Linked DNA regions of Saccharomyces cerevisiae S288C. The gene in region 1 interacts genetically with each later gene. Each region holds a gene or a part of one and is shown in the gene's direction. Other genes may lie near its edges.

Evidence for each region.
Region 2: of CCT3 (region 1) and NOC3, extra expression of one rescues a mutant of the other (dosage rescue), as found in Saccharomyces cerevisiae (one study listed by BioGRID).

Annotation. Positions count from the first base shown.
Region 1 is NC_001142.9:405,475-412,345, forward strand, and holds CCT3 (chaperonin-containing T-complex subunit CCT3), read left to right. Parts: upstream 1-2,083; coding exon 2,084-3,688; downstream 3,689-6,871. Other genes in the region: TPH3 (Tph3p), read left to right, coding at 114-1,799; MAD3 (Mad3p), read right to left, coding at 4,019-5,566; VTC4 (Vtc4p), read right to left, coding at 5,760-6,871. UniProt on the Saccharomyces cerevisiae protein: Molecular chaperone; assists the folding of proteins upon ATP hydrolysis. Known to play a role, in vitro, in the folding of actin and tubulin. In yeast may play a role in mitotic spindle formation.
Region 2 is NC_001144.5:151,922-159,282, reverse strand, and holds NOC3 (Noc3p), read left to right. Parts: upstream 1-2,948; coding exon 2,949-4,940; downstream 4,941-7,361. Other genes in the region: THI73 (Thi73p), read left to right, coding at 1-1,349; CMS1 (Cms1p), read left to right, coding at 1,553-2,428; YLR001C (uncharacterized protein), read left to right, coding at 5,306-7,361. UniProt on the Saccharomyces cerevisiae protein: Required for synthesis of 60S ribosomal subunits and the transport of pre-ribosomes from the nucleoplasm to the cytoplasm. Also required for initiation of DNA replication.

The DNA of each region.
Region 1 (6,871 bases):
TCTTGGCATATTTATCATCATCAGGTCTTTTAAAAGTATCTCAGAACGTAACTTCAACGCCTTTAGATTTTTTTCACAACACGACTCTATTGCAAGAGACAAAAAAAATTAAAATGGGCATTTTGGACTCGCTGAAAAAACCTGTTAATATCAAGAGTTCGCTCCCCAAATTCTCCCGCAGTGCTACCAGCATCAATTTAAGTAGCCACCCAGTAAGTTCACGGTCCTTCCTCGAATTACCACCAGAGCTTTTCAGCATCACTAAACCTATATTTAAGCTTCTGCAAGCACACGCAAATAAGATTTACTTCCAATCTTCCGACGCTGAGGCTGTATGGAATGTTAAGGATTCTTCTGGACATGTTTTTGAAGCAGAGTCAATTTCTTTGCTCGGCTCTCATATAATTATCACAAATTCCTCTGTACAAGTCGCAGACGTGGCCATCATAGATTCCCCTTCCAACATAAACCAATGTGAAATTTCAAGCGTTGGAGAGTTCCTGCAATTCAATAATGGCCAACTATCTATCACATGTAACGATTTTGGTTTACTGGAGAAGTTCAAAAGGTTGTGTATGATTTCTATTTTTGAGTTCATTTCTATATATAAGGCCTTGACAGGCACAGTGATTTCCTCTTATGGGCTGAGAATGTCTGATATGCATATCATTTTGAACTCGCCGTTCAATTTTAAGGATTGGTGTGAAGTTTATCTTGATGGTCAAGGTTGGGTGAAAGTGTGGTGTCATATTGATAAAGTGTCTAAAACCAATAATTCTAAAAGTAGTAGTGACAATGATGCTAAAGGAAAGTATCAAATACGGTTTTATAGAGATGACAAATCCACATCTAGCAAGAACTGCGTTTTTTTTATTCCTGACAATGAGTACGTTCAAGATATTTTCTTTTATAACATCAATGCGGCAGAACCTTCTAAAAATATGAACGACTTTTTTCAAGGGTTGCAAATGATAAAGCTCGTTGGTAATGTACGCTTTTGCAGTGATACGGACTTTAATGATGTGGTGGATAGTGGATCCATCTATAGTAGTGCAAACAACGGCAGTGGTGACAGCAGCTCGACAGCATTGAATAATGAAAGTCCTAACACTACACCAAAAAGTAGAACTTTCTTTTCACCTAAAGGGCACAGAAGAAATAGCTCCCATGTAAGTTCGTTAACTTCTAGATCAACAAAAAAGCCTATAACTAACTTCACTACACGTACAAATGGGCTTTTGATTAGGCCATTGCCCCATCATGGCGTACATCACCTGGAAGCAATGATCAGGTTCATTATTCCTTTGATGGATTGTGCAAGACTTTATGGGCGTCCAGTTCAATTCAAGACAGAAAGAACCGATATAAATTCGTTAATGTTTGGATTACCTAAATTGCCCTCAGTGGATTATTTTGCTGAAGAGGAGATTGCCCATTTGATGACCCAGGAATTTAATCCTTTGAAAGAAAAAGATACTGACGATACTATGGCTTTAACTATGTCAAGATTTTCTAGCTACCTGCAAGAAAGAATGACAAAAGTCTCCAAGAGAAACACAGAACTCAACTTCAGGACCTTTAGTGATGTAATGGGCATGTATAATACTACGAGGGATCACTCTAAACTTAATTGCATGAGTGACAAGGATAATTCTGTGAAGGAATTTTCATTGAGTGATAAAAGCAATGTTAGTTCTGAAACGACTAATATGATGAATCAATTGCAAGTAAACGCCCATGAATACAAAAGTTCTATGTGCGAACGTCCTATCGTCGCAAGTACTTCGCCCATTGCATAGTTCTTCGCATATATAGCCACATCTCAAAAACTTACATACAGTGTATATATTTGTGGTACAGTTTCTGTATAGCCAAATATACCCTGATATAATCTTATGTGATATTATATACTTCCATCCTAATACTAAACTTTTTCGTTTAACGTGACGCATGGTGCGAAGAAAAAAAAATAGCAAATCGCCACTCAATAAAGTGAGTAGAGAGCATTATATCAAAAAAGCATCGATAATATCGAGTGATCATACGTTGAAAATCATCAAGTACAATAGTGATATAAGCCACAATGCAAGCTCCAGTGGTATTTATGAATGCTTCTCAAGAGAGAACTACCGGTCGTCAGGCCCAAATCTCCAATATCACTGCTGCAAAGGCAGTTGCCGATGTCATTCGAACTTGCTTAGGTCCAAAAGCTATGTTAAAGATGTTATTGGATCCTATGGGCGGTCTTGTGTTGACTAACGATGGCCACGCTATTTTAAGGGAAATTGATGTTGCACATCCAGCAGCTAAATCAATGTTGGAGTTATCCCGTACTCAAGACGAAGAGGTTGGTGACGGGACTACAACAGTTATTATTCTAGCTGGTGAGATTTTAGCTCAGTGTGCACCTTATTTGATTGAAAAAAATATTCACCCTGTTATTATTATCCAAGCCTTGAAGAAAGCACTGACTGATGCACTAGAAGTTATCAAACAAGTAAGTAAACCTGTCGATGTGGAAAATGATGCCGCTATGAAAAAATTGATTCAAGCCTCTATCGGTACTAAATATGTCATACATTGGTCAGAGAAAATGTGTGAATTAGCTCTAGACGCTGTTAAGACTGTCCGTAAAGACCTGGGACAAACTGTGGAAGGTGAACCTAATTTTGAAATCGATATCAAAAGATATGTCCGTGTGGAGAAGATTCCTGGGGGGGATGTTCTAGATTCTCGCGTCTTAAAGGGTGTCTTATTGAACAAGGATGTTGTTCATCCAAAGATGTCCCGTCACATAGAGAATCCACGTGTTGTTCTTTTGGATTGTCCACTAGAATATAAGAAGGGTGAATCTCAAACCAACATAGAAATTGAAAAGGAGGAAGATTGGAATAGGATTTTACAAATCGAGGAAGAACAAGTTCAGCTAATGTGTGAACAAATTTTAGCCGTTAGGCCAACACTAGTCATCACTGAAAAAGGTGTTTCAGATCTAGCACAGCATTATTTACTAAAGGGTGGATGTAGTGTTTTAAGAAGAGTGAAGAAATCAGACAATAATAGAATTGCTCGTGTAACTGGTGCAACCATTGTCAATCGTGTAGAGGACTTGAAGGAAAGTGATGTCGGTACAAACTGTGGATTATTCAAAGTAGAAATGATTGGGGACGAATATTTCTCATTTTTGGATAACTGCAAGGAACCAAAAGCTTGTACCATAATGTTACGTGGTGGTTCCAAAGATATATTAAACGAAATAGATCGTAACCTACAAGATGCTATGGCTGTTGCTCGTAATGTGATGTTGAGTCCTTCCTTGTCCCCAGGTGGTGGTGCCACCGAGATGGCAGTTTCTGTCAAATTAGCAGAAAAGGCAAAGCAATTAGAAGGGATCCAGCAATGGCCATACCAAGCTGTAGCTGATGCTATGGAGTGTATTCCACGTACTTTGATACAAAATGCAGGTGGTGATCCTATTAGACTCCTATCCCAACTAAGAGCCAAACACGCACAGGGAAATTTTACAACAGGTATTGATGGTGACAAGGGGAAAATTGTAGATATGGTTAGTTACGGTATTTGGGAACCTGAAGTCATCAAGCAGCAAAGTGTCAAAACCGCTATTGAAAGTGCATGTTTACTATTAAGGGTTGATGATATTGTTAGTGGTGTAAGAAAACAAGAATAATAGCCTCGAGGTTAAACTTCATTACTGCCGTTTAATATTTGGTGTTTCTTCACATTTTTTTGTTTTTTTATACTATTGTAATGTATTTATATAGAATTAAAGTCCTCACTATAATTTTGTCATCCCTACAGTATGTCATAAGCGTTAATCGGACAAACGTTCATTTTAAAATTGGCCTTTTTATATTTATATTACTCCTCATAGGATTTAATATAGAAGTATCATTCGTTAAATAATCATTATATCATCTGTGCTTTAAATAAAAAAGTCGGCCGTCGATGTGTTTACGATTGGCCAGTATACTTACTCATTCATGGGATTAGTTTTATTTCAACGCTGTGGTGGGTACGATATGAAAGACGAACTCGACTTGTCATCATCTGAAATGATCTCAGAATTTTTGCTTTGAGAAAAAGAATTTGATTCTCTCATTTCTAAAATTGGGGTTAACTGCCGCGGCTTGACAGCTGAGATGATATCAGACGTCTCAGTGCTTCGTCCCTTTGGCGTCATAGGGCAGTTTATGTACTCTTCGCCAGAAAACATTCTTCCCTGGTTTGAGGGGGTCAACGACTTGGAGACTAAGGCTTTTCTACTTATTTTTGGTCTTTTCGATTGTGCTTCAGCTTCTTTTTGATTTGCGCTTTCTTCTTGCCCTAAATTTGCTTCTCTTGGATGTTTCCTATTTGTCCTAACCCTTTTATAAACGTTTCTAGAAATTGCCAAGACTTCTTCTAGCGAAAATTCTAGTCTACCACCTTTAGATTCCTCATCTTCACAATAAATCAGTTTAAAATTACAGTCAATTTTTTCTGGTTTCTGGTCCTTTGTATTAATCATTTGATAAACAGGGTCACTTCTACCTATAGAATCTCTAAAGATCGGTAGTTTTTCATCATATGGTCTCTTTTTTTGCGATAACATCTCATGTTGTTTAAGCTCACCCAAATTGGTATTTGCTTCTAGCAATGATATTCGAAGGTTGTTTTCTTTGTTCCTTTCTGCCTTTAAGTCAAAATTTTCCCAGCCATCTCTATAAACACCTCTATTCGGAGTTTCGAATAGTTCTACATCAGACTCTTCTCCATCTACAAATACGTTGTTTTTTGTTAAATTGACGTCACTTGATGTGCCATTTTGATTTGCAAGCTCTAGTCTATTGACAAATTCAGATCTGGTTTTCCCAAGTACTGTAGACTCTAATGAGTCCATCGATATTTCATTTCCTAGCTGAATATTGTTCTCCCCCAGTTCTCTCAGGAGATGGTTTAACCGGTCTTCTAAAACCTTATTAGGCCTAGCCTTATTTTTGATTCCTAGCTGTAGAATTTTCACGGCATATTGAAATTTTTCTTTCTGAATTAATAGATTCGTAAATTCTTCATAAAATGACGCTAACTCGGAACCAATTCCATTTCTTAACATATACATGAAAATGTCTCTGCTTTCCATGAATGAATTTCTGGTAAAAAGTTCTATGTACCAAAACCATATTTTAAGAAACCTAACATCATTGCGATATCTCTCCAAATCCTTTAAGTGAGATAAACATCGCTCCAAAAGGGTGAGCATTCCAGATTGTTTGGAATTACCGCCTTGTGGATAGGCGTTGTTCAGCCACTTTATGTATTCAAGATACAAAGTAATTGGGTCGCTTAATGCAGGGAGCTCATCTATCAGTCTTTGTTCGAAGCTTGATTTAACTTGGTTTATTTCCACCAGTGGTTGATGTATCGCTTTCGAGAGTGCCGCTGCTGATCTGCCTTCCTTCAGGGGAAGAATGTTTTCTTTTTGAGTTTCGATTTCTTCAAAGTTAATAACATTTTGTGATGGTGACGATGGCATGTAAGAGATACGTTTCTTTGCGTACGCTTTCATTCTATCAAGTTAACGTCTTTTATTGTATTTTCGCATGATTTTGTTTACTATTTTTGAACCAGTGTGCGCCTGGTGAAGGTGTGCATTTCAGGCAAGAGGGTAGTTCTCATATATAAAAAAATGGCGCTAAAGAAATTATTATATCTAATATGATTATTACTTAATTATACAGTAAAAAAAACACGCTGTGTATTCATTTAGCAACTAGGTTGCAGAAAAAGGAAAATAAAATAGAGAGAATTAGAAACACAGAAACCATGCCGGGCCCGATCTTATCCTCATAATCTACTGCTCTCTTTAGTCTAATGTTTACCACTCTCTTGGCATAAACCATAACAGTACGTATCAACACAGCCAAGGAAGTAATAAAGAACCCAATGGAGCCAATCATGGCTGTTGGTGAACCATATGTTAATAAAGTAGTGGAGACACCGCCCAACAATATCGAGATGGACAACCAAGACAGGTAGGTTCTTTCAGTGGCAAAGTAAACTTTTGGTTCCACACGAACTGGCACACATATCGTCTTTCCCGGTGGGGCACGAATTTGAGTATCAAAAGTAGTACCTTTTGGGATTTTAGATATTTGATCACCGTTAAAATAGTGGTCAAAAAATGCCACGATTTCATAGTATTTCTTGGAGATAGGATTTTCGGCATTCCTGATCTTTCTTTGATAATAAGCAGCATTAGCACTCTCAACAACATGATTAGTGTTGGAGGTGGGGGCCGAAGTAGCCCCGTAACCAACAGATTCTTCTATATCAAGAGAATTACCGGGTGCGTTTGTCATGGCAGCAACCAAAGCAGCGTCATCCTCATCATCCTCATCGAAGTCGTTATCTTCGTTATCGGATCTACCGGGTCTTGTTATTTCAATATTTGTTGGTAGTGGAGGTTTCCTGATATCAACATCCATTTGAGGTAACCAAAATGGGATTGAATCCACTTTATCATTTAGTAAGGTAGCCACACCATGAATAAACTTGGAGAATTTTGGGACTGGCTCAACTAAGTGAGACCCGACTAATTCACGTACCCACTCTGGAGGTTCTTGACCTAGTTGAGTTTGCAATTTAACTTCCAGGACTGCATATGGGAAACGGCAAATATCCTTGTCATCTAGCTGCTTGAATGGCCAATCGACACCAATATCAGTTCTCCTCCAATTCTTATGAGTTCTATCCACACCATCAAAGTTGTCTTCTCTCACCATAGTTAACTCTGTATCAAGGGAGATACGAACTCTTGCATCACCAGGTAATTGAAAAGCAGTTCTATTGTAGAATGATCTCACTACAGGTC
Region 2 (7,361 bases), on another chromosome or scaffold:
TGAGAAAAGTTGACCTCTTCATCCTGCCCTTTTTATGCTGTACATATCTTCTGATGTTTTTGGATAAGGCTCTGCTGAACTACGCTGCATCTATGGGTATCAAAGATCATTTGAAAGGTAACGAATTTTCTAATTTGGGTACTATCTTTTCTGCTGCTTACATTTTCATGGAACCTGTGGTCACTTACTTAATTCAAAAATTCCCCATTTCCAAAATCCTAGGTACTTTTATTACCGTCTGGGGTATCGTGTTGGCTTGCCATGCTGCTTGTAAGACGTACGCCTCGTTGATGGTCGTTCGTACTCTCCTAGGTCTCTTTGAATCCTCGAGTGCAGTTGGTTGTATCGCTATTAGTGGTATGTACTATACTAAATCTGAACAGAGTGCAAGAATTGGATTCTGGGCCACACAGGCTGGTACAGGTTATATTGTGGGCGGGTTAATTTCTTTTGGCTTTTTACATTATCATGGTACCGCTTTCACCTCTTGGCAAATAATGTTTTTGGTCGTTGGTCTGGTTACAGTTGCGTTTGGTGTTCTAACATTCTTATACCTTCCAGATAACGTCACCAATGCTTGGTTCCTAAACAAAGAGGAAAAAATTCAAGTTGTTGAGCATATCAGAGCTAACCAAACTGGCCTGGAAACAAAGAAGTTTAAGAAGCAGCAAGTTAAAGAACTATTCCTTCATGATAAGTTTACTTGGCCGATGCTTTTATTAACTGCATGTTCTCAAATTTCTACTGGTGCCATTGGTACATTTTCAGTGACCATCACTGGTACTTTTGGTTTCGACAAGTACGAAACAGCATTACTGCAGTTGCCTATTGGTGCCATTACGGCTATGATTATTCTTATAACAACTCAAATGTTGTCCCGCTGGGGTCATATCACACTCATAACCACATCTATGTATATTCCAGCTATTATAGGTTGTATCGTTCTTATCAGTTTACCCTTATCCCATAAGATCGGTAACTTATTTTCTCTGTACTTGCTTTACAGTGGTTCCTGTGTCATTACCAATATTTACATCTGGAATTCATGCAACACCTCCGGTTACACCAAAAGAGTTTTTAGAAATGCTATTACAATGATTGTATACAATGTCTCCTGTATTATTGCTCCACAGATGTTTAGGGCATACTCTGCTCCACGTTACATACCAGCAAAGATTGCCTTATTGGTCACTCAGTGTGTTTGTGTTCCCCTACAATTATACATTGGCTACATTTGCAAGAAGGAGAACGAAAAGCGTGATAAGGAACAAGAAGGTCAAGAAAGGAAGAAGTACCAATTTTTGGACTTGACTGATATCGAAAACAGAAATTTCAGGTACATTTACTAATAATCAACTTTTAATTTACAATATATAATATTTTTAGTCTGTAATATTCAATATTCAAAGACACCCAAACATTCATTGCACTTGGTATTTACCAAAAAATTGAAGAGAAAATTTTTGAGATGACCATGGATGAGGCAATGAAAGTCGAAATTTGATCCCCGCTACTAACTTCTAAACATATCGTCAGGACAATTGAGCTGAAAATGTCTAATCCAGATGATTTAGATGATGGACTCGCCTATGATTTTGATGCCGAACATGAAGTAATTTTTGACGCCAAGGATGGTAGTCCCCCAACCAAAAAGGTACAAAAGAGGTCTATAGAACAAGATGACGATGACGTTGATGATATAGATGGGAAAAAAGAGGAGAGAAATTCAGAAGATGATTCGAATAGACCTATTTCGAAAAGACAGAAAAAGCTACAGAAAAAATCAAAGCTAATTGAGAAAAAGAAAGAGGAAAGCCAGTATATCGTCTCACAACGAAAAGCACTTCCAGCAAGTTCACCAGAAAAAATTATTGAGTACCTAACAACTTTGATACGAGAAAAAAATCCTGACTTGAGTGTTTTAGAATTAGAGGAACTTTACTTCAAAAGAAATGATTTTCTTTCGACAGAAAAATTTGACGCTGAACGCAGATTAAGCAATTTCCCAGCCTTTATTCAAAAATTTTCCGTAGCTCCAAAAAAAATTGTTTTTTCTATGTCTAATATTAGAGTAGCAGACGTTTATCGTAGTCTAAACGGTGGCAAAAATTGCGTCAAATTATTCTCTAAAAGTAAACTAAAGGATGACATAGCCACCGTGGAACGTTTACTTACTGACAGCTCTAAAAAATCAAACAAAAATAAAGATTCACTATATTTTATTGCCACTCCAACAAGAATGCAGAAAATTATAGAAGCTACTGACTTACTTTTCCAAGGTAAGGAAAAGTTAGATATCATTCTTGATGCAAGTTATTTAGATCCTAAGGATAATACTATATTATCATTCGAGAATGCAGCCGTCCTCTGCCAAGTCTTGAAAACCTTTTTGAATAAAAAAAGCTCCGTGAAAATACTGTTATATTAATAATAGCGCTTTTTCACTGAGGTTCTACACATAAGATTACGTTTTTAAATACCAGCCTTAATTTAGTATATTAAATATTTCATTCTAGCATTTGATGGGGTACTTCAAATTATCTTCTTTAAATTGTCCAAAGCCCTTCCAAAAAGTAAAATCAAAGGAGAAACTTCGAGAACGCCTAGGCGCGCAGCAAACTCCATATATAACAATGTATTTTTTCTTTAACTACATAAAACCAATTTATCCTATTTTACTCTTTCCATGGAGTGTATGCTTTTTTGTAGTTACTTAGATTCAGAAATTCAATGTCTTCCCTCATTTTCTTCACCGTAGAGTAGACCATGGGACGTCGTTTTACTTTAGTTTTTGAATTTTTTCAGCGATGCCCGAAAACTGAAAATTTTATCTCATCTCATTCACCTGCCTGCCATATATAGTATTTTCATGGTATAAACTTGGCATTTTATGTCTTCAATCATAAGAGTATAATTCCGGGATAAAAGCTGGAGATATCATAGTAATAATGGCTAAGAGAAATAGATCTCAATTTCGCATTCAGGAAAGGACTGCAAAGAAAAGAAAGCACGAAGATTCCTTGTTAGAAGGCAATGTTTTCCAAAATGCACCGGAAGATATGGATGAAAATACCATATATAGCGCAAAAGGCTCATCCTGGGATGAAGAAGAACAGGATTACGAAATGGTTCCTCGGAAGAATCGGTCTGATACATCAAATCTTGTTGAAGGCCTGCCTATAAAAGTTAACGGTAAAGTTGAAAGAAAATTGCATAAAGCCCAAGAAAAACCAAAGGACGATGATGAGGAAGACGAAGACTCTAATGACTCTTCAGAAGATGATGAGGGACCTAATGAAGAACAAGAAGCAGAGGCAAAGGAGGATGAGCCTGATACGGAGGAAAAAATTCTGCAACTAAAAGAAGACATTGCCGATTTAGTCACTAAAGTTATGGAGGAGCCTGAAGAAAATACTGCTGCGTTGGGGCGTCTATGTAAAATGGTGGAATCTAAAAATCCTAATACTTGTAAGTTTTCCATGTTGGCTTTGGTCCCCGTGTTTAAGAGTATCATACCAGGCTATAGAATTCGACCACTAACTGAAACTGAAAAGAAGGAAAAAGTTTCTAAAGAAGTCTCCAAGCTTAGAAACTTTGAGCAAGCCTTAGTTTATAACTACAAAAATTACGTCGGAAGATTACAGAGTCTTTCAAAAACTCCCAGTAATGCTGCTCCTATACAGGTTTCATTAGGGATTTTGGCCACTCAAGCCGCAAAAGAATTGATTTCAACGGCATCCCATTTCAACTTTAGAACAGACATTTTCACTTTACTGTTGCGTAGAATTTGTAAACCAAGAATTTCAACAGATCCAACTTCCATTCAAATAATCCAGACATTTGAAACTCTATTAAATGAGGACGAAGAGGGCTCAATATCATTCGAGATACTAAGAATTTTCAACAAAATACTAAAGACGAGGAACTTCAACATCGAAGAATCTGTTTTAAATATGTTATTATCGTTAGATGTCTTACATGACTATGACCCTAATACTAAATTGAAAGGTAACGTTAGCGCTCCTAAGCTCAAAAAGAAAGATAGGGTCCATCTTTCTAAGAAGCAAAGAAAAGCTCGAAAAGAGATGCAACAAATTGAGGAAGAAATGCGTAACGCTGAGCAAGCTGTTTCTGCGGAGGAAAGAGAAAGAAACCAATCCGAAATTCTAAAAATCGTTTTCACTATATATTTGAATATCTTGAAAAACAATGCAAAAACACTCATTGGATCGGTTTTGGAAGGTCTAACGAAGTTTGGTAATATGGCCAACTTTGATCTATTAGGGGACTTCCTCGAAGTAATGAAAGAACTTATTAGTGACACTGAATTCGATAACCTTTCCTCTGCTGAGGTCCGTAAGGCTTTGCTTTGTATCGTTAGTGCATTCTCACTTATTTCAAATACACAATATATGAAAGTTAATGTGGATTTGTCCAAATTCGTCGATGGGCTTTACGCGCTATTACCTTATATCTGTCTTGATGCAGACATCGAATTATCTTATAGATCGCTAAGGTTGGCTGACCCACTCAATAACGAAATAATAAAACCATCAGTTAACGTTTCTACCAAAGCAGAACTTCTGCTAAAGGCTCTGGACCATGTATTTTTCCGCTCTAAATCAGGGACTAAAGAAAGGGCTACGGCGTTTACCAAAAGATTGTACATGTGCATCAGCCATACCCCAGAAAAAACAAGTATTGCCATTCTTAAATTTATTGATAAATTAATGAATAGATATCCAGAAATTTCAGGCCTTTACTCTTCCGAGGATAGAATAGGCAACGGTCATTTCATAATGGAAGCCGATAATCCTTCAAGGAGTAACCCAGAGGCAGCAACCTTATGGGATAATGCTCTTCTTGAAAAGCATTATTGTCCTGTAGTTACAAAGGGGCTACGCTCTCTATCATCTAGATCTAAAGAGTGTTCTAAATAGCTAGATCCTATATATTAAGTATATAAAGAGCCACGATTATCGTTAGCCAATCATTTTTGCCGTGTCGAGTAGAATTGTATAAATATTAGCATTGTATGAAATTTGAATGAATTACCGCAAAAGTATTATACGTAAGCAATAGAAACAAATATCAGATTCAAGTTCACCAAATCAATATTAACAGCTTACTATATTGTCTTTTTTTATGGAAGAACATTACCGTGAAAACCCGGTAGGAGAATTTTGTTCGGTCGGACTTCCCCATTAGGCGTATATTAAGGGCCTAGAAAATAAGACAAAACGGCTTCTTATCTAAGCTGCTGTGAGTGACAGCATGTATTAACTGAATCAAACGGAGCCCTTTGATGAACATGGCAATCCAAACAATTAAATACATTTTTTGGCTACTGCCGATATTAGGGCTTACACAAGCACTTCTACAAAACCCAGGGGACGATTTTCCATTTAGCACAGTAATAGATATCCTCTCAGAAAATGTTGAATTCTCAACTTTTTTAAGGATTATTCAGAAAACTGGTCACGTACAGTACTTAAATGAGCTACAGAACTTTACACTTTTTGCTCCGATTAATTCAGCATTTATTAAGGGGGACCAAACCACAGACCAATTTGAGGAGCATTTCCATATTGAAGATTTCCTTATTCATGATAGGGTATTGCAAGTGAGAGACCTTGAAAACGGTACCTACCTGGAGAAAAGAGCTGCAAAAGCACCTTTATTGCTGAGAAAGCATGAGCGCCATTGCTTTGTCAATGAAATTGCTGTTGTCGAACCCGATTTGCTGCCTAGTTTCCAGAATGCTTCATTACAAGGTATTAACAATCTTTTACTAATTCAACCTCAAATAAATGAGTTGCTGGTACAACTAGATGAAGAAACCCAAGATTTAAAGATATTTAGTGATTTTATCAGCAGTTTTTCAAACTATAATGCATATACAAACTCATCCACAGTTTTAGTGCCCTTAGATGTTAATTTTCGAAAATTCTTCAATACAATCGAAATAAACTATCTACTTGACAAATATAATAAATTGGGTAAATCTAATACAATTTCTCAGGCCAAATGGGCCGCAGATAGAACTTCCCTTCTTCAAGAACTCATTATTGATGACGTGTATGGTGGTATTTTACCCAAGGAACTAATTTTAGAAAATAAAAACAATCGAAAACTTTTTATGAAGAGTAATTCAGAAGGTACATCAGTAAGTGTAAATAATTCAGATTACTCACCCATATCAAACAGAATTTTTGAAATAGGCGTCGTGCATGGATTTTCTGACTTAGACTTTTTACGAACGCATATACAGTTTGATGCTGAAAAGTACTTGCACGGTTTGAACTGCTCAGAATTCGTAAAGGAGTTATACTTCAGAGACCTTGAAAAATTCATTCAAAACGGAAGGAAAATCACCATATTTGTACCACAAGCCTCTTTTAATGAGGATCGTGGGTACACAAAACCATCACTTCTGTACCATTTTGTAGAAGGTAAAATTGACCTTGAACAGGACTTTTCCTCATTGCGCCCGATTCAATACGCACCTACCCAAATTTATGACTCCGCCTTTTGCTCTTCAGCTAAAAGACTAGGTGGACACTGCCAAAAGTTCAAAATCACAAGGTCTAATAAAGGTTATTACATCAATGGTCGCTTCAAGATTTTAAACACAAAACCTTATGAGATTGGTAATACGTCCATTTATTCTATTGACGATGATCTTCAATTACCGGGCGACTTAGTGTTGTCATTAGCACCAGAAAACCACTGTTCTATTTCCCTAATGCTCTTGAAGGAACTTAACCTTTTGGATCTACCATCAAATCATAAGGGGTACACGATACTTCTTCCATGTATGAATTCATGGGACAATAATGATTTGACTATAGACTATTTGAGGTCAAACAAAACCGCCCTAAATTTACTTATGAGGAACCTAATCTTCGAAGACCTTATTTATTCCAACAATTATAGTATTTCGACTACTGTCAAGAATTTATACGGAAATTCTGTATCTATTGGCGTACAAAAAATTGTGGGAAGCCAAAACCTTACGAAAATCTCAGTGAGTACTATAAAGGAAAGTATTATTATTGAGGAGAGTTCCGATATATTTTTCAACCAGGGAGTTATCCATCCTATAGACCAATTGGATTTTCCAGTCGATTTGGAGATATCCCTAAAAGAGCTGATAGAAACTACTGGAACAAAAGAAATATTTGACTTTTTTAACTTGTTTTATGACCTTTCTTCAATCATTTGGAATAACGAAGAGTACTCGCTTTTAGTTCCAACGGCTTCTTCTATTCCATTAAGTGGCATCACGGCGAACTCGACAAACTTAAGAAAATTCCTCGAACTCCATTTGATTCCTGCTAATGTAACGCAAAACCTACTAG